Linked DNA regions of Macaca mulatta. The protein of the gene in region 6 interacts with the protein of the main gene of each other region in a pairwise test. Links are inferred from orthologs where the notes say so. Each region holds a gene or a part of one and is shown on either strand. Other genes may lie near its edges. The genes, in order: CCDC185, LRRC45, GABARAPL1, MOB1A, EXOC7, KXD1 and TPM3.

The links.
Region 1: the proteins of KXD1 (region 6) and CCDC185 interact in a two-hybrid assay, tested with the Homo sapiens proteins (2 studies listed by BioGRID and IntAct). The two-hybrid records come from large-scale screens. The link is inferred for Macaca mulatta from reciprocal best matches to the Homo sapiens genes KXD1 and CCDC185.
Region 2: the proteins of KXD1 (region 6) and LRRC45 interact in binary tests that used the Homo sapiens proteins (3 or more experiments, as listed by UniProt). The two-hybrid records come from large-scale screens. The link is inferred for Macaca mulatta from reciprocal best matches to the Homo sapiens genes KXD1 and LRRC45.
Region 3: the proteins of KXD1 (region 6) and GABARAPL1 interact in binary tests that used the Homo sapiens proteins (3 or more experiments, as listed by UniProt). The two-hybrid records come from large-scale screens. The link is inferred for Macaca mulatta from reciprocal best matches to the Homo sapiens genes KXD1 and GABARAPL1.
Region 4: the proteins of KXD1 (region 6) and MOB1A interact in binary tests that used the Homo sapiens proteins (3 or more experiments, as listed by UniProt). The two-hybrid records come from large-scale screens. The link is inferred for Macaca mulatta from reciprocal best matches to the Homo sapiens genes KXD1 and MOB1A.
Region 5: the proteins of KXD1 (region 6) and EXOC7 interact in binary tests that used the Homo sapiens proteins (3 or more experiments, as listed by UniProt). The two-hybrid records come from large-scale screens. The link is inferred for Macaca mulatta from reciprocal best matches to the Homo sapiens genes KXD1 and EXOC7.
Region 7: the proteins of KXD1 (region 6) and TPM3 interact in binary tests that used the Homo sapiens proteins (3 or more experiments, as listed by UniProt). The two-hybrid records come from large-scale screens. The link is inferred for Macaca mulatta from reciprocal best matches to the Homo sapiens genes KXD1 and TPM3.

What each region holds. Positions count from the first base shown.
Region 1 is NC_133406.1:81,272,842-81,276,218, forward strand, and holds the end of CCDC185 (coiled-coil domain-containing protein 185), read left to right. Parts: coding exon 1-1,703; 3' UTR 1,704-2,877; downstream 2,878-3,377.
Region 2 is NC_133421.1:91,697,831-91,700,489, forward strand, and holds part of LRRC45 (leucine-rich repeat-containing protein 45), read left to right. Parts: intron 1-573; coding exon 574-686; intron 687-1,061; coding exon 1,062-1,120; intron 1,121-1,349; coding exon 1,350-1,427; intron 1,428-1,685; coding exon 1,686-1,821; intron 1,822-1,895; coding exon 1,896-1,973; intron 1,974-2,055; coding exon 2,056-2,167; intron 2,168-2,269; coding exon 2,270-2,340; intron 2,341-2,659. UniProt on the Homo sapiens protein: Component of the proteinaceous fiber-like linker between two centrioles, required for centrosome cohesion.
Region 3 is NC_133416.1:10,332,548-10,336,047, forward strand, and holds part of GABARAPL1 (gamma-aminobutyric acid receptor-associated protein-like 1), read right to left. Parts: intron 2,540-3,500; coding exon 2,421-2,539; intron 1,227-2,420; coding exon 1,161-1,226; 3' UTR 1-1,160. UniProt on the Homo sapiens protein: Ubiquitin-like modifier that increases cell-surface expression of kappa-type opioid receptor through facilitating anterograde intracellular trafficking of the receptor. Involved in formation of autophagosomal vacuoles.
Region 4 is NC_133418.1:50,632,009-50,636,260, forward strand, and holds the start of MOB1A (MOB kinase activator 1A), read left to right. Parts: upstream 1-1,452; 5' UTR 1,453-1,513; coding exon 1,514-1,653; intron 1,654-4,252. UniProt on the Homo sapiens protein: Activator of LATS1/2 in the Hippo signaling pathway which plays a pivotal role in organ size control and tumor suppression by restricting proliferation and promoting apoptosis.
Region 5 is NC_133421.1:85,825,751-85,829,250, reverse strand, and holds part of EXOC7 (exocyst complex component 7), read left to right. Parts: intron 1-1,852; coding exon 1,853-2,020; intron 2,021-3,500. UniProt on the Homo sapiens protein: Component of the exocyst complex involved in the docking of exocytic vesicles with fusion sites on the plasma membrane.
Region 6 is NC_133424.1:19,116,238-19,119,737, forward strand, and holds part of KXD1 (kxDL motif-containing protein 1), read left to right. Parts: intron 1-1,799; coding exon 1,800-1,846; intron 1,847-2,996; coding exon 2,997-3,226; 3' UTR 3,227-3,500.
Region 7 is NC_133406.1:112,859,409-112,862,908, reverse strand, and holds part of TPM3 (tropomyosin alpha-3 chain), read right to left. Parts: intron 3,256-3,500; coding exon 3,138-3,255; intron 3,036-3,137; coding exon 2,965-3,035; intron 2,163-2,964; coding exon of another isoform or gene 2,087-2,162; exon of another isoform or gene 1,548-2,086; coding exon 1,472-1,547; intron 776-1,471; coding exon 713-775; intron 535-712; coding exon 465-534; coding exon of another isoform or gene 451-464; exon of another isoform or gene 429-450; intron 1-428. UniProt on the Homo sapiens protein: Binds to actin filaments in muscle and non-muscle cells. Plays a central role, in association with the troponin complex, in the calcium dependent regulation of vertebrate striated muscle contraction.

The DNA.
Region 1 (3,377 bases), on a different chromosome or scaffold from region 6:
CGTGCTGGCTGCACCCGCACTGTTCGTTCACGCCGCGGCCTCGCAGGCGCGGGTGCTCAGACTCACCGCGGGGCAGCCGAAGCCTGAGCGATGTGGTCCGCAGGCCCCTGGACCGCTCCAGGAAGCACGGGCTCCGCAGCAGGCGCCTAGAAGATGCCTGGGGAGAGACAGGAACCAAGCCCCGCCCAGCTTGGCAGCCGCAGACCCAGCTGCCACCCCAGCGGCCGCAGCCCTGCCCGCATTACCCACTGGCCCAGGGAGACTCGCCCCCGCCTTACTCCGGAGGAGCTGGCACTCCCCTGAGTGGCACATTCAGGGTAGAAAAGGCACAGGGTGGAGACCAGTGGGCAGTGCCGCTCGGCAGACATCTAGGTCGCTGGTCCGCTTCCTCAGTTCCCTCGGAGCGGTCTTCTGTGCCCTCCCAAAAGTTCAGGAGGCACTCAGCCTGCGGGTGCGCCCAGAAGAGAGACAGCAGCGACCAGGTTGAGTCATTAGCAAGCCGGGACTCCCAGCCCTCGGCCTCTAGCAAAGAGATGCGGAGCCCCCACACCCAGGTCCTGAAGAGCAAGCTGGAAGAGGCAGTGGTGTCCTCCCAGGACCAGCAGATTGTGGCCCTCGTGTTGACCCGTCTCAAGAAGGCCCAGAGGATGCGGGAGCTGCAGCAGCAGGCGGCTGAGGCCTGGGAGGAGTTGAAGCGCTCGGATCAGAAGGTCCAGATGACCTTGGAGCGGGAACGCCGGCTGCTGCTGCAGCAGAGCCAGGAGCAGTGGCAGGAGAAGGAGCAGCGCAAGACCCTCCAAAGCCCTGAGCAGCGCTGCCGGCGGCGGGACAGCCAGAGGAAGAACGTGACCCCGGGGGAAAGCCGGTGGAAGGAACAAACTGAGGACCAGGAGAGCCCGCGCCAGGAGAAGCTGGAGAAGGCGCGCGCCCAGGCAGAGCACCGAAAGCAGTGCCAGGTGCGGCGCCTGCGGGAGCAGGAGAAGATGCAACGGAACCTCCGGGAGCAACACACCCTGCAGCTACAGAGGAGGCTGGTGGAGGCCTGTCGCAAGAGGCATCTGCATGCCGTGGAGGGACAGAAGAAGGTCCAGGACACCAACCTGAGCTCTCTCATCAATTACCAGGCCCGGAAGGTCCTCATGGACTGCCAGGCCAAGGCTGAGGAGCTCCTTAGGCAGCTGTCCCTGGAACAAAGTTTCCAGCGGTCCCAAGAGATACACCAGGGCCTGATGAAGGAGCGGCACCGCGAGCTGAGGGAGAAGGCCCAGAAGGAGGAAGAGCAGTTGCAGCAGGCCAGGTGGCGTGCAGGGGAGTCAGAGGAGCAGAGGAAGATGCGCAAAAGGATTCTGGTGGAGCTGGCAGATGAGAAGATCCGACAGGCCAGGAATCACGTGCACAAGACCACTAGGGACAAGGTGCAGCACCTCCGGGAGCTCAACCACCTGAGGGAGAAAAACCACCACATCCTGAAACTGAAAGCCGAGAAGGAGGAAAAGTGCCACATTGAAGGCATCAAGGAGGCCATTAAGAAAAAGGAGCAGAGGGTGCGGCACATTACCCAAGGGAAAGACCCAAACTTCCAGGAGTTCCAGAAGCTCCCTCAGGCCTCCAGGAGAGAAGAGAGAGCGCCTCCCAACAGCTCCCTTGATCAGATAGTACTAGAGGCCCAGCTCCGTGCCTGTCAGCAGAACAGGGATTACTGAGAACCAAGGACGCCTGGCTTACAGCGCCAGCCAGAAGGAGATGTGGCAATGTGATTCCTTTTGTAATCTGATTATAATTGAACATTGATTTTAAAAAAGCATATAAAATAGCTGCAATTTCCTCTCATGAACTGGTTTATTGATTCACTTGGATAGTTTAGAGGGTCGGGGAGAAAATTTTGAGAATTTCTATGAAAATGACTTGGCTTTGTGAATTTCGATTTGAATACAAAATATTCATTTAGCTCTCAAGTAATCTGAGAAACACACAACAGGCACATTTTGGAGACACCAGAGAAAAATCTATAGTTAGGGATACAGTTCTGTGACATGTCTTAAGTCTTTTCCTGTCCCAGAACTTATGAAAGGGTGAAGTATAAAGTACGCATCATAAGAAATCTCCAAGACAAAAAGAAATTTTAAAAAGAGTGAAGTGGGAGGATTCCTGTGAACGAGTAGATTTGGGAACCCTGCATACTATATCCTCTCTTGGGAGTTCATAATGCACTTTAAAATTTTAAAGACATGCAGTAAAGAAACTTAATGTTTAATGTCCCTCACCTCTTTTTTTTTCTCAGATAATTTCATGGAATTGATGTTCTGTGAAACATTTTTGAAAATGGCACTCTATAGTTCTTATCTGATTGTGAACTTCTTTGGCCTTCCCTCCCTGTATTGATAGGAAGTATTTATAATTCCATCAGCACTATTTCTTGACTGTTCCACCACAGCCACACCATCTGATATAGTTTGGCTCTGTCCCCACCCAAATCTCATCTTGAGCTATATAGCTCCCATAATTCCCACGTGTTGTAGGAGAGGCCTTGGGAGATAATCGAATCATGGGGGTGGGGGTTTCCCCCATACTGTTCTCATGGTAGTGAATAAGTCTAAAGAGATCTGATTGTTTCAATAGGGGAAACCCTTTTCACTTGATTCTCATTCTCTCTTGTCTTTCACCTTCCACCATGATTGTAAGGCCTCCCTAGCCACATGGAATGAGTCCATTAAATCTCTTTTTCTGTATAAATTACCCACTCTTGGGTATGTGTTTATCAGCAGCGTGAAAGCAGACTAATGCATCATCTAAGATCTCATTGGAATCTATTTGGTCTGGTTCTTTTTTTGGTCAGTCCTATCCAGCCTTACAGAATAAAATTCTATTGGAATCCTTCTCTTCTCCTCTATTTCTCCTCTGTCTCTTGAAGGAGGTATGTGATGTCATTCTGTCTACCCACATTGTGTCTAATTAACCTAACCAGGCCCTGAGTCAATGACTAAGCATGACTCAGTAATATGACATTTTAAAAATAAGGAGCCAAAAGTTAAATAGAAATTAACCCATCATATCTCAGAGTCTTTATTGAACTCTCTAAATGTTTTCTTTAAAAAGCCCCTAGTGTCACATTTGTATTAGAGAGAGAGAAATAGAATAAGCTCCATTGGGAGATTTATATCTTATTAGTAATTCTAAAACAACATTAAAGATAACCTGACAAAGGATTTTGTGCAAAGGTCAGTTTGAGGTCCACTTTCTTGGCTCTTATCATGGAAACCAGGCCCTCTTCCCCATTCCATTTTCTTCCCTTGCCCCAGTCCCTTCTGCCTGGTATCCCCAAAGAGGCCTACGGTAGGACCCTTATTCTTCTCCTCAAAAATGTTCAAGGACAGCCG
Region 2 (2,659 bases), on a different chromosome or scaffold from region 6:
CAGCCCCCACCACCTCTGCCCCACGTGTGCCCGCACCCCCCAACACCAGGTGCCTCCTGCTCACAGCCCCAACCCCACGAAGCACCTTCCACCCTCATGCACTGAGGGGGCACCCCTGACTTGCCAGGAGAGACCTTGCCCTACAAGGCATTGATTCCCAAGCAGCCAGCCGCCGGGTGCAAGGCTGGTGGCCACCAGCCACTCCTGAGGCTAAGCAGCTCCGGGGTGACACAGCTCCTTGTGTGTGTGTGTGTGTGTGTGTGTATGTATGTGTGACTGAGATCGCTCTGTCACCCAGGCTGGAGTACAGTGGCGCAATCTCGGCTCACTGCAACCTCCACCTCCCGGGTTCAAGCGATTCTCCTGCCTCAGCCTCCTGAGTAGCTGGGATTACAGGTGTGCAATACCATGCACGGCTAATTTTTTGCATTTTTAGTAGAGATAGGGTTTCATCATGTTGGCCAGGCTGGTCTCGAACCCCTGACCTCAGGTGATCCGCCCACCTCGGCCTCTCGAAGTGCTGAGATTCCAGGCATGAGCCCCTGCGCCCGGCTGACACAGCCCCTTCTGCAGAGCAAGCCATGGGCCACAGCCAGGACCGGCTCACCACCTTCCAGGAGAACCAAGCCCGCACTCACGTCCTCAGCAAGGAGGTCCAGCACCTCCGGGAGGAGAAGTCCAAGCAGGTGAGAATGGCGCCTTCACTGACCTTGGAGCTGCTCGTGGCTGGAGGGCCTGGCCATGTCCTGCCTCCTTCGGCCCCGTGGTCTGCCCACCTTCCCTTCCTTGGGGCCGCAGAGCCTGTCTGAGTGGCTCGTACCGGGAAGGAGGGCGGCCTCCTGGTCTGATCTCCTGCAGGTGGGCTTCCTTGGGGAGCTGGTGTCTGAGCCCCAAGGCCTCCCTCTGCAGGAGCCACCCTTCCTGTGAAGGAGACAGGGCGCTGTGGGTGGAGCCCTTTGCTGCCTTGCTGTGTTGGTGGGCACCGGCTCTCCTTCCCCCGAGAAGGTCGTGTGGACAGGCTGTAGGTGCTCTGACAGGGCTGTGGCTGTCTCTGTCCCCAGTTTCTGGACTTGCTGGAGACCATTGATAAGCAGCGGGAAGAGATGGCCAAGAGCAGCAGGTGAGCGGGCGCAGGGCAGGGGCAAGACAAGGCTTCAGGGATTGGGTCCTGGCTCAGACTCAGATGGGACCAACCTGAGCCCACAAGTGAGACCACGAGGTGGTGGCTGGAGGCTCAGTGCCCAGGCGACCGTAGATGCTTAAGGAACAGCAGCAGCTACCGAGGCCAGAGGGGTACGGGAGCGCTCTGGGGTTTGGGTTACTCTCTGCACCCTCCTCTCTGCCCACAGGGCGTCGGCAGCCCGTGTAGGACAGCTTCAGGAAGCCCTGAATGAGAGGCACTCCATCATCAACGCTCTCAAAGCCAAGTAAGTAGGGAGTGGCTCAGGATACTTCAGAAACGTGCCCACAGCGCAGAGGAGGGTGGTGTGAGCCTGTGTGCAAGTCCCGTTTGCAATGTAGAGGTGGGAAACCGTGAGGCTGGGGCAGTAACCCAGAAGCCTTCCTGGAGGAGGCGGGTGCTGGCTGGGGTTCACTAGGTGCCCAGCAACAGTGAGAGCAGCGAGGACTTTGTAAGGCACGTGAAGCTCCAGCCGGGGCGGGGGTGCTGGCCTTCCTTTCTGCAGGCTGCAGATGACGGAGGCCGCCCTGGCTCTGTCAGAGCAGAAGGCCCAGGACCTGGGGGAGCTCCTGGCCACAGCGGAGCAGGAGCAGCTGAGCCTATCGCAGAGGCAGGCCAAGGAGCTCAAGCTGGAGCAGCAGGTGGGTGGGCGGGCTTGAGAGGGGTGGGTGGCAGCTTCGTGACCCTCACTGCCCATACCACGTTCCCCTCCCAGGAAGCTGCGGAGCGGGAGTCTAAGCTCCTCAGAGACTTGTCTGCTGCTAATGAAAAGAACCTGCTTCTGCAAAACCAGGTATCTGTGGCGGAGCCAGGGAGCCCAGGGTGGGCACGGCAGGGCCGGGCTGCAGCTTCCCTCTCTGGTGCCGGCTTTCCAGGTAGAGGAGTTGGAGCGGAAGGTCAGGTGTCAGCAGGAGCAGCTGTTCCAGACCAGGCAGGAACTGACCAGCACATCAGCCGAGCTGAAGATGCGGGCCATCCAGGCCGAGGGTGGGCGTGGGCAGGCCTGCTGTGGAAGGGTTGGGGATGGGCACCCTGGGGACAGGGTCCCCCAGGAGATGCTTACACACGCTCTGCCCCCTGGGCTTCCAGAGCGCCTGGACATGGAGAAGAGAAGGTGCAGACAGAGCCTGGAGGACTCGGAAAGCCTGCGCGTCAAGGAGGTGCCCTCTTTGTTGGCCTCATCTGGCCTCTAATGCTCCTCAGCCTCTGTCCTTGGTGTCATGCAGGTGTCCCCAAAGCACATGCCCGGTGGGAGCTCCCCTTGCCAACCTGGGGTCACTGGGTGGCTGTATTTTGCCAGCCTGAGCGGATGTCAGACCCAGAACCTTCTATTGGGGCTGGGAGGGGACCCCGGCCATGCCTCAGCCGTAGTACAGGCTGCCGCTGAAGAGACACCAAGCCCCACCTGTGCAGTGTGCGCATGCTAGGGTAGTTTCCTGCTAGGCCACCCGAGGCAGTGCTTTCTCAGAATGAACAAGG
Region 3 (3,500 bases), on a different chromosome or scaffold from region 6:
CCTTTTCATTAGCAGAGATGAATTGAAATGTCATGTCTGAGTGCAATTCCTGCTCCCCACTCCCACCCCACAAAACCCCAAAAGTGAAAATAAATCAATAAAATCCCCATGATTTACTAAAAGTCATCCCTCCAAACCTTTCTAACTAGCAGCTGCAGTGGATGATAACCAAGGAGGGAAGCAGCTGGCCATCACATAGCATTCCTGTGCGTGTGAGCCTGAAGGGACAGCAGCATGGGAGCAAGAATCCTGAATGAGAGGTGTATATAATTACCTTACTTCACACTTGCTCCCTCCCTACATAAGACATCTCTGTCCTGATACATGGAAAATACTAGAGGAGATGCTAAGAGTGGTTTTAGTCTACAACTGGAAATGCCTGAGACTTAAATTCCAAGGTAGGGGTGAGATAAGGGGCACCAGAGAGAAAGAACAGGTTAGACAGAGATGCTCAATAGTCTTGTCAATTCCAGTTTAATGCTATTTAATAACAAAACAATCTTCTTAATCATAACCACCTTTATGTCTAACCCCTATTTTCCAAAGGTAAGAGATCGCTGTCTAAATTTCTGGGTTGTGGTCTACTGCCACCCCTGGGGTGGTACTGTGATGTTTGAGTGAGACTGCAGCTGGGATGGGAGAAAAGAAGTGTGAGACAGGAAAGAACAGGGGCCACAATGCATCAATTACAGTGGGTCTCTTTTGGTCCCCAGGTATGGTCCACTACCACAAGTCCCCTTTCCCTACCTGTCCTGTGCAAATGTCAAAAATAGAATCGCTGCCCAAAGAGAAGGGAGCACAGGGAGTTGCTGCTGGACTACCATCATCTCTGGCCCCAACTTGTCCACCTCCTGACCCTTCTATGAAACTGCACAAAAATTAAATCTCAGGAATGCTGTGAAATTACATCATCCGTATCCCTCTACCAAAGCCAATCCAACAGCTCTGTCCTGACATGCTTTCTCCCTGGGCCGAGGAAGCAGCAAAAAATATCAATTGAGCATGTGAAAATATGATGACGGTGTGTGCGGTGTAATGTTTCTAGATGTCTTCACCTTCTGTCTCCTCGCGGTGGGAGTCACCCTCTTTCCCCAAGTCGCACGCACACCCCTCCCCTACCCCCAAGTCCAGGTGCTCCCATCTGCTGGGCTTCCAACCACTCATTTCCCATAGACACTCTCATCACTGTAGGCCACATACAGAAAATAGTCTTCCTCATGATTGTCCTAGGGGAAGAGATAAGACAACAGTTTAGAAAACATATTCATTCATTAGCTCTAAGATGCTAAGCCTCACACAAGCTTGTAAAGCAGGTATGGAAGGTATCGTTCATCCCCATCTAAAAGGGGAGCAAAGAATCAGGAGATGTGGTTGGAATTACACTTTGAGCTCTGAGTTCACAAACAAAAATCCTTCACTGAAAACATATTACACATAGGTATCAGGGATATGAAGATGACTGGGGCACAGTACTCACTCTTAAAGAGCTCAGTCCTAGCAAGGGGAACATAGATACCACAGATGGGATATATAAGGGGCAGATACTAACAGGGAATATATGCTATGCAATAAAAGTTAGATTCAAGATTATTATAAATTTATGTAATCCATTAATAGGGCATAATGAGAAGGAAGCATCTTATGCAAAATACTGCAAAAAATAATAGTTACAATCCTAGGTTATATTTTTAGTAATAATAAAGTCCTTTACTATAGTTTCTCCAAATTCTGACACTTCCAATTAAACAAAACCACATAAAAATTATTCCTCCTCAGTTTATCTGTTAAGACAAATGAATCCATTTACAGACTTTGCCTTAATTTTATATTTCATTTGATCTGATTCATTGTGCCCAGATAATGTGGAATCTGTTTCACAGTTTTCGTTTTGTTCTAAGAAGAAGTTTCCCTCTGTTTAGATCAATGTGTTTGTCTCAAGCCAAAACTTCAGAGTTCACAGAGGAAGCTGACTGTAGCGGAGGCTGGCCTCAGAGTTAGAAGCTGGCTTTACTATTATGTGCTTTCTCAATCTGTTGCTAAATGGGAGTAAAATAATGAACTGGATTCTGAATGCATTACAAATTACAGACTACCAACAAGAAGAGCAGGAACTGCGATGGGCTGATGCTTTGGAACTTTTGCTATCAGGAGTCACTTCCTGCTGTTTCAATAAACAATCCCACATTAAACACTATAGTCAGACAAGACTGAGAAGAGATTTCAAAAGGATTAAATCTAGTAGAGTGCCTAATCCCTGAAAAACAAGTGGTATCTAATCTCTCAGAGCCTTACGAGGATCCGGATAAATAACACCTTCTGCCCCACTTCTCAGTTGTGTTATCAACATATACTAGAACAAGAGCTAGAGGATGCCAGACTGCCCTGGACGGCATCCAGTATTGTTCGGCTAGAACCATTACCTCATACAGTTGGCCCATGGTAGCACTGGTGGGAGGGATAGTGTTGTTGACAAAGAAGAATAAGGCGTCCTCAGGTCTCAGGTGGATTCTCTTCCGGATTAAGAAGTAGAACTGGCCAACTGGATGATGGAAGAAAAAGGCAGACAAGAAAGGAAGAAAACAAGGAATTAGTAGAATGGTAAGTCCTGGAAAAAAATTCAGTTGCATTTTTTCCCCTTAGAGTCAGTACCAGTTTTATATACCACCTGAGAAGAGCCAAATACTATCCTGGAGCTTTCAAAATAAAAAGGGAAACTCAGAAGCCCGTACAGTCCCTGATATGCCATAGTGGACTTTATTCCTCCTTTCCTCTCTTATTCAATCTCAGACCTCATGTTAGCATATCCACTCAAAGCCTGAGGACTACGCTGAAGGAATACCACGTGCATCCAGACCAAAACATTCCCATCATTGTCTAAACCCGACTTGAAACACTTTCCATCCCCAGACCCACCCTAAGAAAAGCTTAGCAATGAAAGGGGTCCACTGGACACTGGTCATCTTAGCACAGTCACTCAACTCAGTGTTGGGGCATTAAATAAGGTTCAGTGCTTTGCCTTTACCTGAGAATACTGAAAACTTTCTAGATGGCTGATATTCAAACCTGTTAACTCTGAAGCAAATCAACAAAATCTTTCCAGTGTCTCCTGGATGCAGTGTGTATTCCATTAAGGCTCAAGATGAAGACTGAATATATGTCTTATAATCCCAAACAAAATCTACAAAACTTATTTTTTAAAAAATGTAGCTTAAGAAGATGTAATCAGGAAACTCTAAAGCATAATCCTCTCAAGAAACCAGACTGGTTTTCTTTTTGGAACAAATTGACATCACAATTAACAAAGCTGAATTTTTTTTTTTTTTTTTTTTTGAGGCGGAGCGTCACCGTGTCACCCAGGCTGGAGCGCAGTGGCACAATATCGGCTCACTGCAATCTCTGCCTCTAAGGTTCAAGCAATTCTCCAGCCTCAGCCTCCTAAGTAGCTGAGATTACAGGCGCCCGTCACCACATCCAGCTAATTTCTGTATTTTTAATGAAGA
Region 4 (4,252 bases), on a different chromosome or scaffold from region 6:
ACATGGTGAAATCCCGTCCTTACTGAAAAAAAAAAAAAAAATAGCCGGGTGTGGTGGCGCACGACTGTGATCCCAGGTACTCGGGAGGCTGAGGCATGAGAATCACTTGAATCTGGAAGGCAGAGGTTGCAACGAGCCTAGATTGCACCACTGCACTTCAGCCTGGGTTACAAAGTGAGACTCTGTCTGAAAAACAAACAAAAAAAATTAGTGGTGATGGTTGGCACACTTTGAAAACATAAACAAAGCCGGAGGCAGTGGCTCACACCTGTGATCTCAGCATTTTGGGAGGCCAAACCAGGAGGATCCCTTGAGCCCAGGAGTCCAAGACCAGCTTGGGCAACACAGTGAGACCCCCGTCTCTGCAAAAACTTTGAGAAAATTAGCCGGGCGTGGTGGCACGCACCTGTGGTCTCAGCTACTCGGGAGGCTGAGGCGAGAGGATCACTTAAGCCCAGGAAGTCCAGGCTGCAGTGAACTGTGAACTCCAGTCTGGGCGATAGAGTGAGACACTTCAAAAAAGAAAAAACATAAACGAAAAGGACCACTAGAGGGTACATGTTTAAAGGATAGATTTTATGCTATGTGAATATATCTCAAGTAAAAATTAAAAATTTTAAAATTTGCAGGGGTAGGTAGCGCTTATAGAGGACCCTGCGCAACCTAGGGAGCTGGGTCGAAACTCAGCAGCACCAAGATAGACTAAGAGCAGGACTAGCCACTGCCCTTTCCGCAGGACCGCCGTCCTCGCCACGCCTCCCGGGGAGGGAGGGCCTGGCTTGGAGAGCAATGATTGGCCAAGTTCTAGGACGAGGCGGAGCGAAAGGGGGTGCGTCTAGTCCCTCCCGGCGCCGCGAAACCTTAGCTCGCGAGATTTTGTTGGTTCCGCATTTCGGGTTTGCGAGGTGGGGTAGGCGGGCAAGGCGGGCGCCGAGGTTTGCAAGGGCTCGCAGCGGCCAGAAATCCGGCTCCGAGCGGCGGCGGCCCGGCTTCCGCTGCCCGTGACCAAAGGACGGTCCTCTCCCTCTCGCCGGCTCCGAATCCTGATCCGGGCGGGGGCCAGAGGCCCCTCGCCTCCCATCTGAGGACCGAAGATGAGCTTCCTCTTGTGAGTGGGGCCGGGCCGCGGGCACTGGGGCTGCGGGCCGAGATCGTGGGGGAGGCCTCCCCGGACCTGAGGCGAGGGCTGGGCTTGGGGGCCGGGGCGGGGGCGGGGTAGCTGGCGTTTGTTTTGCCTCTGTTTGGGTCAGCGGGGGAGGCCGAGATGTTGGGAGAGGCCGACAGAGGTGAAGGTGAGGTAAAGGAAACGGAGCGTGAAGGTTGGGGAGTAGAAAGGCCCCGGGGCCGTAGCGCCTGCAAACTTTTCCGCCCGAGGGCCCCCGAGGGCGAGGAGACGATCTGGGGGCGGAGCCGCGAGCCCCCAGTTTCCCTCGTCTCGAGCTTCTAGAAACCGTCCATGCCGACTTAACTCGCCGCTCGGTTATAGGTCCAGTTTCAGTATTGTCGGTGTTGAATGCCGCTCCGGGAGAATGTGCGTTGCCGCAGTTTGAGAAGCCTGAAGTTAAGATGCGGGCCTTGGAGTCGGATCGTTCTGTCCAATTCTGATTCTGCCCACTTACTGGTTTTGATTTTAACCAACTTCTCTTGTCCTCGGTAGAATCGTGTGTTTTTAATCATTATGTAATATACCATACAACATTATTCCATAGTACATTGCAGTATTATTATAAATAATTTGGAAAGTTAAAATTAAAACAAATTCATAGTCCCATTACAGAAACAGTATTGCTATTTCAGTGCACTACAGCAATTAACTTGATACACATACCTTAGAATCTCATTTTAGAGATAATGCCTGAGCCCAGTCAAACAAGGCTACAATGAAAAAGCTTGTAAATTCCCTCATGATTCTTATGCACATTAAGGTTTGAGAAGCATTGCTCTGGCAAAGTATTTTTTATTCTCGGGTGGCGCTCTCTACCTTGTATATTGCTTAAATGTGTGTTTCCTGATTGAGTAGTTATCCATTTTTAGTTATGGATGCAATCCACATGCTTGACATTTTTATTAAATACAATATAAAAACACTACATAGGTTTTTTTTTAATTTTATTTTATTTTTGAGACGGAGTCTCGCTCTGTCGCCCAGGCTGGAGTGCAGTGGCCAGATCTCAGCTCACTGCAAGCTCCGCCTCCTGGGTTCACGCCATTCTCCCGCCTCAGCCTCCCGAGTAGCTGGGACCACAGGCGCCCGCCACCTCGCCCGGCTAATTTTTTGTATTTTTTAGTAGAGACGGGGTTTCACCGCGTTAGCCAGCATGGTCTCGATCTCCTGACCTCGTGATCCGCCCATCTCGGCCTCCCAAAGTGCTGGGATTACAGGCTTGAGCCACCGCGCCCGGCCGGTTTTTGTTTTTTTTTTTAAATAACCAGAGTTCACCCACTTTATTGTGAGAGACTGGGATTCCTTCCAGTATTTGCTTTTATAAAATAGGACTACTAAGAATATGTTTATCTGCGTCTCATTTTCCCTCCTTTGGGTTATTCTCGTAAAGGAATGGTCTCTAAAATACGATTACCTTGTCAAAAAGCCTGTATGATTTAGATTTAATTTCCATATTAATAGAAGTATTCCTCCCTCCACTTTTTTCTTACGAGTTGATATTTAGTTAGTGAATGCACAGTTGCTTTGTGGACCTTAATGTGAGACTTTTTTTTTTTGAGACCGAGTTTCGCTCTGTCACCCAGGCTGGAGTGCAATGGCACGGTCTCGGCTCACTGCAACTTCTGCCTCCCGGGTTCAAGCGACTCTCCTGCCTCAGCCTCCCTAGTAGCTGGGATTACAGGCGCCAGCCACCACACCCGGCTCATTTTTGTATTTTTAGTGGCGACTGGGTTTCATCATGTTGGCCAGGCTGATCTTGAACTCCTGACCTCAGATGATCCACTCCCGCACCCGGCCGAGACTTTCTTTTTTTAAAACTTGACCTTCTTGATGGGCGCTTGAGTTGTTGCCGCTTTTTGGCCATTATGAATAATGCTGCTGTGAACATATGTGACAGGTTTTTGCGTGGATGTATGTGTTCATATCTCTTGGGTATATACTTAGGAGTGGAATTACTGGCTTACATGGTAACTGTGTTTAACCTTTTGAGGAACTGCCAAACTTTCAAAGTGCTGCACCATTTTACATTCCCATAAGCACTCTATGAGGGGTCCAATTTCCCCACACCTCTCATAGCACTTGTTAATTTTCTTTTTTTAATAGTCATCCTAAGTGGATGTGGAGTGGTATCTCCTGATTTTGATTTGCATTTCCCTAATGACTAATAATGTTGAGCATTTTTTCGTGTACTTATTGGTCATTTGTATATATTCCTTGGAGTAAAGTCTATTTAGATCTTTTGCCTGTTTTTAAATTGGGTTGTCTTTTTGTTTTTGAGTTGTAAGAGTTCTTTATACATTCTAGATACAAGTCCTTATCACATCTGTGATTTGCAAATATTTTCTTCCCTGTTCAGTATAATTTTTTATCACGTTAAAAACGTTTCAGATTTGATTTTCAGTGTTTTCATAATTCTTTTTTACTTCTTTTTTTAAATTTAAAATTTTTTTTTATTTGAGACAGGGTCTCACCTGTTGCCCAGGCTGGAGTGCAGTGGCACCATCTCAGCTCACTGCAACCTCCACCTCCCGGGTTCAAGCAATTCTCCTGCCTCAGCCTCCCAAGTAGCTGGGATTACAGGCACTTGCCACCACGCCCAGCTAATTTTTTTTTTTTTTTTCCTATTTTTAGTAGAGACGGGGTTTCACGGTGTTGGTCAGGGTGGTCTAGAGCTCCTGACGTCAAGTGATCCACCCACCTGGCCTCCCAGAGTGCTGGGATTACAGGCGTGATCCACCGCACCCGGCTCTTTTTTTTCTTCTTAATCAGTCTTATTTAAAGTCCAAATTACTCAGGTAAAGTAAAAGTCTGTAATTCTATTCCATTCCTCTTCCTAGAAGTAATCACCAGTTTTGATGAATTTAGTTGTTGATATTTTCTGTGCATTTACAAAATGGGCTCCTGCTGTACATTTGGTTGTGTATTATGTTTAACCATGTATTAGATCTTTCCTTGTGAATACGTGTACTCTGTCTGGTTTTCTTAACTTCTATACAATATTCCATGATATGGATGTACCATACTTTAATTCAGTCCTCTACTGATAAAATTGAGGATTGCTTGTAGGTTTCTCCCTATTAAAAACAA
Region 5 (3,500 bases), on a different chromosome or scaffold from region 6:
ACAGAGTGAGACTCTTGTCTCGAAGAAAGAAGGCTGGGTGCAGTGGCTCACGCCTATAATCCCAGCACTTTGGGAGGCCTAGGCAGGCGGATCACCTGAGGTCAGAAGTTCGAGACCAGCCTGACCAACATAGAGAAACCCCGTCTCTACTAAAAATACAAAATTAGCTGGGCGTGGTGGCCTGTAATCCCAGCTACTTGGGAGGCTGAGGCAAGAGAATCTCTTGAACCCAGGAGGTTACGGTGAGCTGAGATGATGCCATTGCACTCCAGCCTGGACAACAAGAGCAAAACTCCATCTCAAAAAGAAAGAAAGAAAGAAAATAAAAACTTCAACTCCAATAGATATCCAGTATTGCACTTTTTTTTTTTTTTTTTTTTGAGACGGAGCCTCGCACTGTCACCCAGGCTAGAGTGCAGTGGTGTGATCCTGACTCACCACAACCTCTGCCTCCTGGGTTCAAGCAATTCTGCCTCAGCCTCCCCAGTAGCTGGGATTACAGGTGCCCGCCACCACGCCCAGCTAATTTTTGTTTATTCTCAAGGGTGCAGGGATTAGGTGTAAGTGTCTGAAGATACTTGTAACCTTCTTGCCGTCACTAGCTCCTCTCCAAATAGATCAGGCCAATTGATGGACTCATTGACAGTTCCATGGCCATTTGTTCTTCATTAATTTTTGTTTTTGCTATCTGATAGGACTATCACAGTACTCTAACTTTTTAAATTTGTACTTTATTAATGGCTAAAGATGTGTGTTTTTCATTCACTAACATCTGTTGTCTGTTTGCTTCCTATAGAGCTCGTGTTCTTTGACCCCTTACCAAGTTGAATCTGGATATTAACTTTGTTTTTTTATTAAAAAAAAAAAAAGTACGATTTAAACTTACAACTAGGGCTGGGCGCAGTGGCTCGTGCCTGTAATCCCAGCACTTTGGGAGGCCGAGGCCAGTGGATCATTTGAGGTCAGGAGTTCAAGACCAGCGTGGCCAACATGGTGAAACCCCATTTCTACTAAAAATACAAAAAATTAGCTGGGTGTGGTGGCGGGCACCTGTAATAATCCCATCTACTTGGGAGGCTGAGGCAGGAGAATCGCTTAAACCTGGGAGGCAGAGGTCACAGTGAGCCCGTGCCATTGCATTCTAGCCTGGGCGACAAAAATGAAACTCAGTCTCAAAAAAAAATAAAAAAACTAGGGCTGGGCATGGTGGCTCATGCCTATAATCCCAGCACTTTGGGAGGCCGAGGCTGGTGAATCATTTGAGATCAGGAGTTCAAGACCAGCCTTGCCAACATGGTGAAACCCCATCTCTACTAAAAATATAAAAATTAGCTGGGTGGAAGTGGCGCATGCCTGTAATCCCAGCCACTCAAGGCTGAGGCAAGAGAATTGGTTGAGCCTGGGAGGCAGAGGTTGCAGTGAGCCATCACACCACTGCACTCCAGCCTGGGCGACAGAGTAAGACCTTACCTAAAAAAAAAAAAAATTACAACTAATTATCAGTTCTATCGGAGGGTGTTTTTCTCTTTTAAGATTGCCTGGCCGGGCGTGGTGACTCACGCCTGTCATCCCAGCACTCTGGGAGGCTGAAGTGGGCAGATTACTTGAGCCCAGGAGGTCGAGCCTGCAGTGAGCTGACATCGTGCCACTGCACTGCAGCCTGGACAACAGAGCAAGACCCTGTCTCAAAAAAGAAAAAAAAATACTTTGCCTGATTTGGGACAAGATATGGGTGGCTTGCGACCCAGAGCAGACAGCAGATGCTAAGAAGGGTTGACAGGTAGACATGGTGGGTCTGCAAGGCAGAGGCAGGGCCTGGCAGCCATACCTCTATCGCTCTGTATCTCCTCAGATTTCATGAACGTCTACTACCAGATACGCTCCAGCCAGCTGGACCGCTCCATCAAGGGCCTGAAGGAGCATTTCCATAAGAGCAGTTCTTCCTCTGGGGTTCCCTACTCCCCTGCTATCCCCAACAAGAGGAAAGACACACCTACCAAGAAGCCAGTCAAGCGGCCAGGTGAGCCCCTATGCTGGCCCATCTCTGCAACAGCCAGAGGCTGACTGGAACTGCACTGCTTTCATCCAATCTAGCGTTCGCAGCGTCAGACCCCTCTAGAGCTTGTCGTTATGGTAACCCTGACTGTAGGTACACAGGACAGAAAGCAAGTGTCTACCCAGCCAGTGAGGCCCCCGCAGAGCAAGACCCTTCTACCCAGCAGAGCCTGGGGGTGACACAGCTTCTTTGGAGTGAGGGAGTAACACAGGTGCTCAGTTAATCCTGCCTGAGGCAGGCGGCAGAGGCTTCTAGGGCCGAGCCCCTGCCTAGGCCTCGTGCCTCACACACACATCACCCTGTCAGGAGACCAGGCACACTGCTGCATCCAGGACGCTGGGATAGCGAGGGGATAGGTGCTCCAACCTTCACCTTCCAGAAAGGCAAGGTGACCTGAAGTGATGTGTAGCTGAGAGCTGGATGGGGAGAATTTCACTTTCCCAGTCGATCCAAAAAGGAAAGAAACCCCAGAGCATCTTCTCAGAAGAACTTAAACTGGCTTTGGGCTCCAGTGCGAGTCAGTGCCTTGTGGAAAGAGGCACCGTGATGAGAGGCCTGGGCCGGTGGGTGTCGCTGTCCTGGGTGAACATCTCGTCATCTGTCTGTTCTTTCTCCCTGGCATCATGTCCCTTGTAGTCTGTGCTCCAGGTAAACAGTGTCTCTGCCAGCCACAGCTTGGCAAGCCCGGCTGTCTCTGGCCACTGACAGATGCCCGCAACTCGATGACATGCTGGGATGTTCTGGGGTGGGGCTGCTGAGATTGCTCTGGAAGAGAAAGCTGGAGAAGCCAGGGCTGCTCCCACCCAGGCTGGCCCCCTGTCCAACTGCTGCTGCAGGCACATGCCCTAGGTGTGGCCTGTGGGACCTGCTTATGACAATAGGCTTTAGGTAGAGCTTACTTACACCCTTGGTTTCTCCAGTCCCTACCTGCCCATGCCTCTCAGAGACCGAGGTGTCTGTTCCACAAGAGCACCCGCTCCTCTCCAGGCCTTTGTTTAGGGTTTAGAGAAACAGGCAGAGTAGGGGCTGCCCTCAGGGAGTAGAGCATTAGGGAGCTGGTGCCTGGGGCCTTCTCCCTCCAGTGTGGATGTCCTGCCCACCCAGCCAAAACCTGCAAATGGGGACTGCCAGCCCAGCCTGTGGGCGCAGCTGCCTGCACAGCGGATGGAGCAGCTCTGTACCTTCTGTGTGGTGGGGAGTGGCTGTCTCTGTGAGGCTTCGAGGATGCTTTAGCCCCAGCCACTCTGTGCTCACTTCCTCTTCTACCTGGTTCCCTGACAGGCCCCCTGGAAGCCCCAGAGCCCTATTTGCACTGCCCTAAGAGTGCCCGCTGGCCATGCAGCCCCCTGGCCTTTCAGGCAGGAGGGATCTGATCTCAGGTAGCTTACAGTGGACCGCATCCGTCCTTGGCCCAGGGACACAAGAGGAAAGCTCTCCGGCTGTG
Region 6 (3,500 bases):
CTAATTTTTGTATTTTGTGTACTTTTTGTATTTTTTTTAGTAGAGACAGGGTTTCCCCATGTTGGCCAGCCTCATCTCAAACTCCTGGCCTCAGGTGATCCATCCACGTCGACCTCCCAAATGCAGGGATTATAGGCATGAGCCATCACGCTCAATCTTGCAGTTTATTTATTCTTAAAAAACGTAACATAGTGCAGCTGAGCGTGGTGGCTCACACCTGTAATCCCAGCACTTTGGGAGGCGGAGACGGGCGGATCACGAGTTCAGGAGATCGAGACCATCCTGGCTAACATGGTGAAACCCCATCTCTACTAAAATACAAAAAAAATTAGCCGGGCGAGGTGGCGGGCGCCTGTACTCCCAGCTACTCGGGAGGCTGAGGCAGGAGAATGGCGTGAACCCGGGAGGCGGGGCTTGCAGTGAGCTGAGATCCGGCCACTGCACTCCAGCCTGGGCAACAGAGCTAGACTCCGTCTCAAAAAAAAAAAAAAAAAAAAAGGTAACATAGTGCTAGACACATAATGAAAAGGCAGGAATGGCCAGGCACAGTGGCGCATGCCTGTAATCCCAGCAGTTTGGGAGGCTGACGCAGGCGGATCACCTGAGGTCAGGAGTTCGAGACCAGCCTGGCCAACATGATGAAACCCCGTCTCTATTAAAAATACAAAAAACCGCCAGGCGCGGTGGCTTACGCCTGTAATCCCAGCACTTTGGGAGGCCGAGGCAGGCGGATCACGAGGTCAGGAGATCGAGACCATACTGGCAAACACGGTGAAACCCTGTCTCTACTAAAAATACAAAAAAATTAGCCGGGGCCGGGCGCGGTGGCTCAAGCCTGTAATTCCAGCACTTTGGGAGGCCGAGACGGGCGGATCATGAGGTCAGGAGATCGAGACCATCCTGGCTAACACGGTGAAACCCCGTCTCTACTAAAAAAAATACAAAAAACTAGCCGGGCGAGATGGTGGGCGCCTGTAGTCCCAGCTACTCGGGAGGCTGAGGCAGGAGAATGGCGTAAACCCGGAAGGCGGAGCTTGCAGTGAGCTGAGATCCGGCCACGGCACTCCAGCCTGGGCCACAGAGCGAGACTCCGTCTCAAAAAAAAAAAAAAAAAAAAAAAAAAATTAGCCGGGCACAATGGCAGGCGCCTATAGTCCCAGCTTCTCGGGAGGCTGAGGCAGGAGAATGGCGTGAACCCGGGAGGCGGCAGAGCTTGCAGTGAGCCGAGATCGTGCCACTGCCCTCCAGCCTGGGCGACAGAACGAGACTCTGTCTCAAAAAAAAAAAAAAAAAAAAATACAAAAAATCAGCTGAGCACGGTGGCTCGTGCCTGTAATCCCAGGTACTCGGGAGGCTGAGGGAGGAGAATCATGTGAATCCAGAAGGTGGAGGTTGCAGTGAGCCAAGATGGCACCACTGCATTCCACCGTGGGTGACAGAGCGAGATTCTGTCTCAAAAAATAAAAAAAAGAGTTTATCAGAGTAGAGGAGGCCACATGTAAGAAGGGGCCTTGTAGGGGGAGCCCCCAGCCAGTGCCTAGGCTCAGAGCACCCAGAGTCTTAACTAGTTGGGGGTTGTTGCCTACCCTGGGGCTGGAGGCCGGCTGGTGAGTGACTGTCAGGGCCGTGGCTGTGGGGCCGAGCACCTGGAGAGAGTGAAGATGTGATGTGATGAACAGTGTGGGGTTCTCACTCCCGTCTCCCCTTGCCCTCAGCCGGCAGCAGGGGCCTGTGACTGGCACAAGGCCTGGCCTGCCTGCTCAGCAGGTTAAGCCCTGTGTGCCTTCTCTCCCCTGCAGGACGCTGAAAGGGAAACTGGCCAGGCAGCACCCAGAGGCCTTCAGCCGTAAGTGTCACACAGGGCTCCGGCTCCCGAGCATGTCAGCACTCTCCGCCCAGGGCAGGCTTCTGGAAGGCCACCTTGGGGCCTGATCCTGAGACCAGGCTGTAATGGGCAGTGGGTCTGGAGAAACCTGGGGCGGGGGCGGGGGCAGGGTGCTGGCCTGGTCTTCTCGGCAGCCTACAAGGCTGGCGCTAGGACGGGAGTCCGTGCCCTGTGGGGAGGCCGCACAGGGAATGTGGATAAGTGGCATGATGATCCTTATCCCCGTGTGCATCATGAGCCCCTGTGAACCAGGCTGTTACCCACAGTCACCCATGAGGTGGGGACTGTGAGTATCCCCGTTTCATGGAGAGGGAAACAGAGGCCCAGAGGGGCGGGACTTGAGTGCACATCCGTCTGGCTAAAGAGCCCGTCTGTTCTCTGAGGTACCACTCCATGTTGCCACCACCTTAAAGGGCTCTGCAGGCTGAGCCTGGGTTCATCCCATCTGTTGAAAAGGCCGACGGCTCTCCATCCTAGGGCCTCCAACAGCAGTTTACAGAGCAGAGAGCCGGGCTGAGGGGAGGTCATGTACCTAGGCCAGGTAGTGCAGTGAGCCAGGCTTGCCCTCACGGCTCCTGTAGGCCCAACCCCAGAGCTTGTGTCCCTTCCTCACCTCACCTTGAAGGGAGAGCTCTTCCCTGCCTGGACCTCAGTTTCCTCCTCTACAAAATAAAAATGGGCCAAGTCTGCCGGGCGCGGTGGCTCATGCCTATAATCCCAACACTGGGAGGCCGAGGCGGGTGGATCACCTGAGGTCGGGAGTTCGATACCAGCCCTACCAACATAGAGAAACCCCGTTTGTAGTAAAAATACAAAATTAGATGGGCGTGGTGACGGGCACCTGTAGTCCCAGCTACTCGGGAGGCTGAGGCAGGAGAATTGCTTGAACCCGGGAGGCGGAGGTTGCAGTGAGCTGAGATCACACCATTGCACTCTAGCTTGGGCAACAAGAGCGAAACTCCGTCTCAAAAAAAAAAAAAAAAAAAAAAAAAGGGGCCAAGTCATGCCCCCATGGGGTGAGGGCAGCCATTATGGGTCACATGGACAATAAATCCTACATCCCAGTGCTTCGCAAGGTGACACCACCAACTCTTGGGCCTCCTTCCTCCAGATATCCCGGAGGCGTCCTTCCTGGAGGAAGAGGATGAAGACCCCATCCCACCCAGCACCACGACCACCATCGCCACCTCAGAACAGAGCACGGGCTCATGTGACACCAGCCCCGACACCGTCTCGCCCTCCCTGAGCCCCGGCTTCGAGGACCTGTCCCATGTCCAGCCTGGCTCCCCAGCCATCAACGGCCGCAGCCAGACAGATGAGGAGGAGACGACGGGCGAATAGACCTACTGCCCGGTGCCTTGAGGGGTCTCAGGGCAGTGGCATACAAGGTGGCAGCGGGTAACCCTGCCTTGTTCTGTCACCCAGGGCTCCTTTGCTGCCCCGTTCTGTCACTCAGGGCTCCTAGGGGAACAGGGCTGTCTCCCGAGGGGTGTGAAATTCCTGGGGGGTCTTTAATTCTGGCTCCTTCCTTCCTCAGAACGCCTCTCTTCTGCAAGACCCCTCTGCCATGCCAGGGCACGCCCATTCCGGCTGGAGTCGCAGGGCTGGGCACGGG
Region 7 (3,500 bases), on a different chromosome or scaffold from region 6:
TTTAGAAAGCTCCTGACAGTGGTCAGTGTTCAGATGTGGTTACTCCACAACTTCATTTCTTGGATAAATACCCCACAACTTGAGTGGTGAAAAGAACTGTGGAAAGTAGCCATGAAATGACCTGCACCTTGCCCTTCTGAAATCATGGCTTCCGTTTAAACCCACAGACTAAAGGTTTAAGACTACTAAATTGGAGATTAATGCAGCCATTATCATTCTCCTCAAAGGGAAGGGTACAAATTGCAGACTATTTGGTGAAGTCTTCTTAAAGGAAAAGATTACATTTGAAAAACCAATTCTAGGGTTTGACCCACTTTGCCTAGCTGTGGCATAGGACAGTGCACGTATTAATACATGCCAAGTCATACCAACTTCCTTTGGTATACAGAAGAAGAGATTAATAGTTAATGGGCAAGGTCTTCCTCTACATTTCTCTATTTCAATCCCTACTCAAGGTTCCATACCTTCCAAGTCATCAATTGTCTTTTCCAGCTTGGCTACCGATCTCTCAGCAAACTCAGCACGGGTCTCTGCCTGGGGGAAAGATGAAATTAGTCAGAATCAGAGATGAAGACAAAGAAGAACAATCTCTATTTCTTCCACCTTCTACTTCTGGACCTTTCAGAACCCAAACCAGCCAGTCTAAGTCCACATTAATGTCTTATATACCTCTAAATGTTTTGGGTCCTGCCCTATAATCCCCTCAGCTCACCTCCTTGAGTTTATCAGTAAGAATCTTGATCTCTTCCTCATATTTGTCTTCTTTTTGAGAGTACTGTAAGATAAGTAAAAATTTCAGAGTAGAAATCAATCACACAAGCAATACCCACCTCCCTACACTTAACTCTTACACTGAATATCCTCTTGGACTAAATGTGCTGAATGGTCCAAGAGTAAGAGCAAGGCCTGGCTCTGGAAAACAGGTCCTTGAAATCCAGAAATCTGTCTTTAGAGCCATGAGATCCTCAGGTTAAAATTCTCCATGACTTTTTAAGATGGATCTAAGCTTTGATATTATTCAGATCAACCCAAGGAGGTGTTTTTCCCTTCCCCGGCTTAATGAGCAAGAGTAGTGGCACCCCAAGGTCACATGACTAAAACACACCCACATGATGGCAAAGTGAAGTCATCTGTCTTGATTGCTCATTAGGTCTCAGAGCTGATTCTGTCTGTTGCCCCCATCTGTCTGCCAGAAAGCCTGTTAGGGCCCCTGATTATTGCTTTTCAGCACAGCAGTATCAGCCTGAGGAGCACATGACTCCAGTAACCTGAGACCATGAAGTTATTTTAATTAAAGCAATCAAAGTGCACAGAAAGTAGCATTAAACCCAGAACCTGAATACATGGTAAGGAGGTAGGAAAAGGACATGCCTCATTGAATTATATATGGAATGGGTGTCTCCAGTCTTTCATCAAGGGCAGGGCTGGGCCCAGGCCCCAAAGCCTGTCACTTTCACAAACCAGCCCCTACCTTCTCCGCCTGAGCCTCAAGAGACTTGAGGTTGTTGGTGACATTCTTCAGCTCCTCCTCCAGCTCAGAACACTTACTGTGAATATTTTAAATACCACAGGAGAGGAAAAGGGAAAAGGAAGAGAATAAAAAAAGGGAGAGAGACACACAGACGTGAATTGAACCTATATGTAGAGAGAGTTGGAAGGCATACTGGGGAAGAGATGTTCCCAAGTAACCTGAGCAAGCATCAACCCTCCTCCCTCTACCATAGAACGTGTCAGGAGCTAGACCTTCCTGGGCTCAAAATGTTTGAATACTAATAAAGCACTTGAGAGAAATCCACTACCAGGAATGAGTCATAACTGCTACCTGGGGTGGAGGTGGGAACAAATGCCCAACCCAAACAGTCCCCCAAATCACCCAAAGGAAGGAGACCCTGCGGAGAGGCAGTAAAGCAACTAGGAAAGAAGAGATGAAAGATGCCAAGTAAGTGGAAAAGAATGGAGCATTCCATGAAGAGATGAGACAGCACTCAACAAAATCAAGTGGAGGGGAGGCAGCTGCAAAACAAAAACAAAACAAAACAAAACCACACCATATATATAACCTTGCTGTGGGTTTAATGGTTAGTACCTTTTCTTCAGCAGCACTCAGACACTTCAGGTTCTGGTCCATCAGTCTAATCTGCTCATCCATCTCTCGGCAACGGCTGTTAGTGATAGTCACGGGGATGGCACAAGCCAGGTTGTGGGGAGGGAGAACGGTCAAAAAGGAACACAGCAAGAAAACAAGCAGCAAAACGAAAAAAAAAATTCAAAAAATGGGAAGAGAACACCACCATGGTCATGATATGTTATGTCTGGCAGACGGGAATGTAAGAGGGAAGCACAAATATATATGCATCAGCACTGACTTTGTTAATCAAGGCCGAGAAGGTACCAACAGGGGAGCAGTTAGTATCTACCCTTGCCCTAAAGTTCCCCAGCAGATTGGCAAAGTGGCAAAAACAGACACCAGATTTTTTTTTTTTAATTTTGTTTGTTTTAGGGACAGGGTCTCCCTATGATGCCCAGGCTGGCCTCCAACTCCTGGGTTCAAGCAATCCTCCTGCCTTGGCATCCTAAGTAGCTGGGACTACAGGTGTGAGCCACCACACCCAGCCAGACACCAGATCTTAAATCAGGATAGCCACTTTGATGTCTTCCACCCCAGGTGGAAGGACCCAGTAGGATCTTCCAGTTAACTGTTCACCATGTATTAGTCCTTATTTGCTCTCAATTTGTAAAACCTACCAACAAAAAATAAGAAAGCCTCTTTTGTCACTTGTCACTAGTCAGGAGAATAAGGAAGTCTACAACCATTCTTGGACCTAAAAAAGCACTATAGATGACTCCCATTTCCTAGGCCCTGTTTAACAAGGTTGAAGGAATGCTAATTTATTCATATTAGTGCCCAAGCCAAAGGGGAAGGGACAAATTGGTATGACAAGATTTGGGGAGCTAGATACTTACGACTCTGCCAGCTCAGCTCGTTCCTCTGTGCGTTCCAAGTCTCCTTCAATGATCACCAACTTACGAGCCACCTACAGGAAAAGATCCCAGTATAGCTTAGTGAAGCAAAGGAGCCATTTACCACATTATTCTTTGTAAAAGGCTGAGAGAGGGACTAACAGAAAGTCACTTACCTCTTCATACTTCCTATCTGCCTCTTCTGCAATGTGCTTAGCTTCTTTGAGTTGGATTTCCTGGAGTTCCATCTTTTCTTCATCTTTTAAGGCCCGGTTTTCAATAACCTTCATACCTCTGCCAGAAACAGGACAAAAGCAATACTGACACCCTGAGGAGTGTCGTCAGCTCCACTCCAAGGGTCTCAGAATTGTACTTTTAAAAGCCCATTCCTCTCTATCTGCCCTTCAAATGGAAATTCCATGTTACTACTCCCACACCTTAGTTTAATTATTTCATTTAAAATGTTTTGTTATGGTTGGGTGCGGTGGCTCACGCCTGTAATCCCAGTACTTTGGGAGGCCAAGGTGGGCAGATCACCT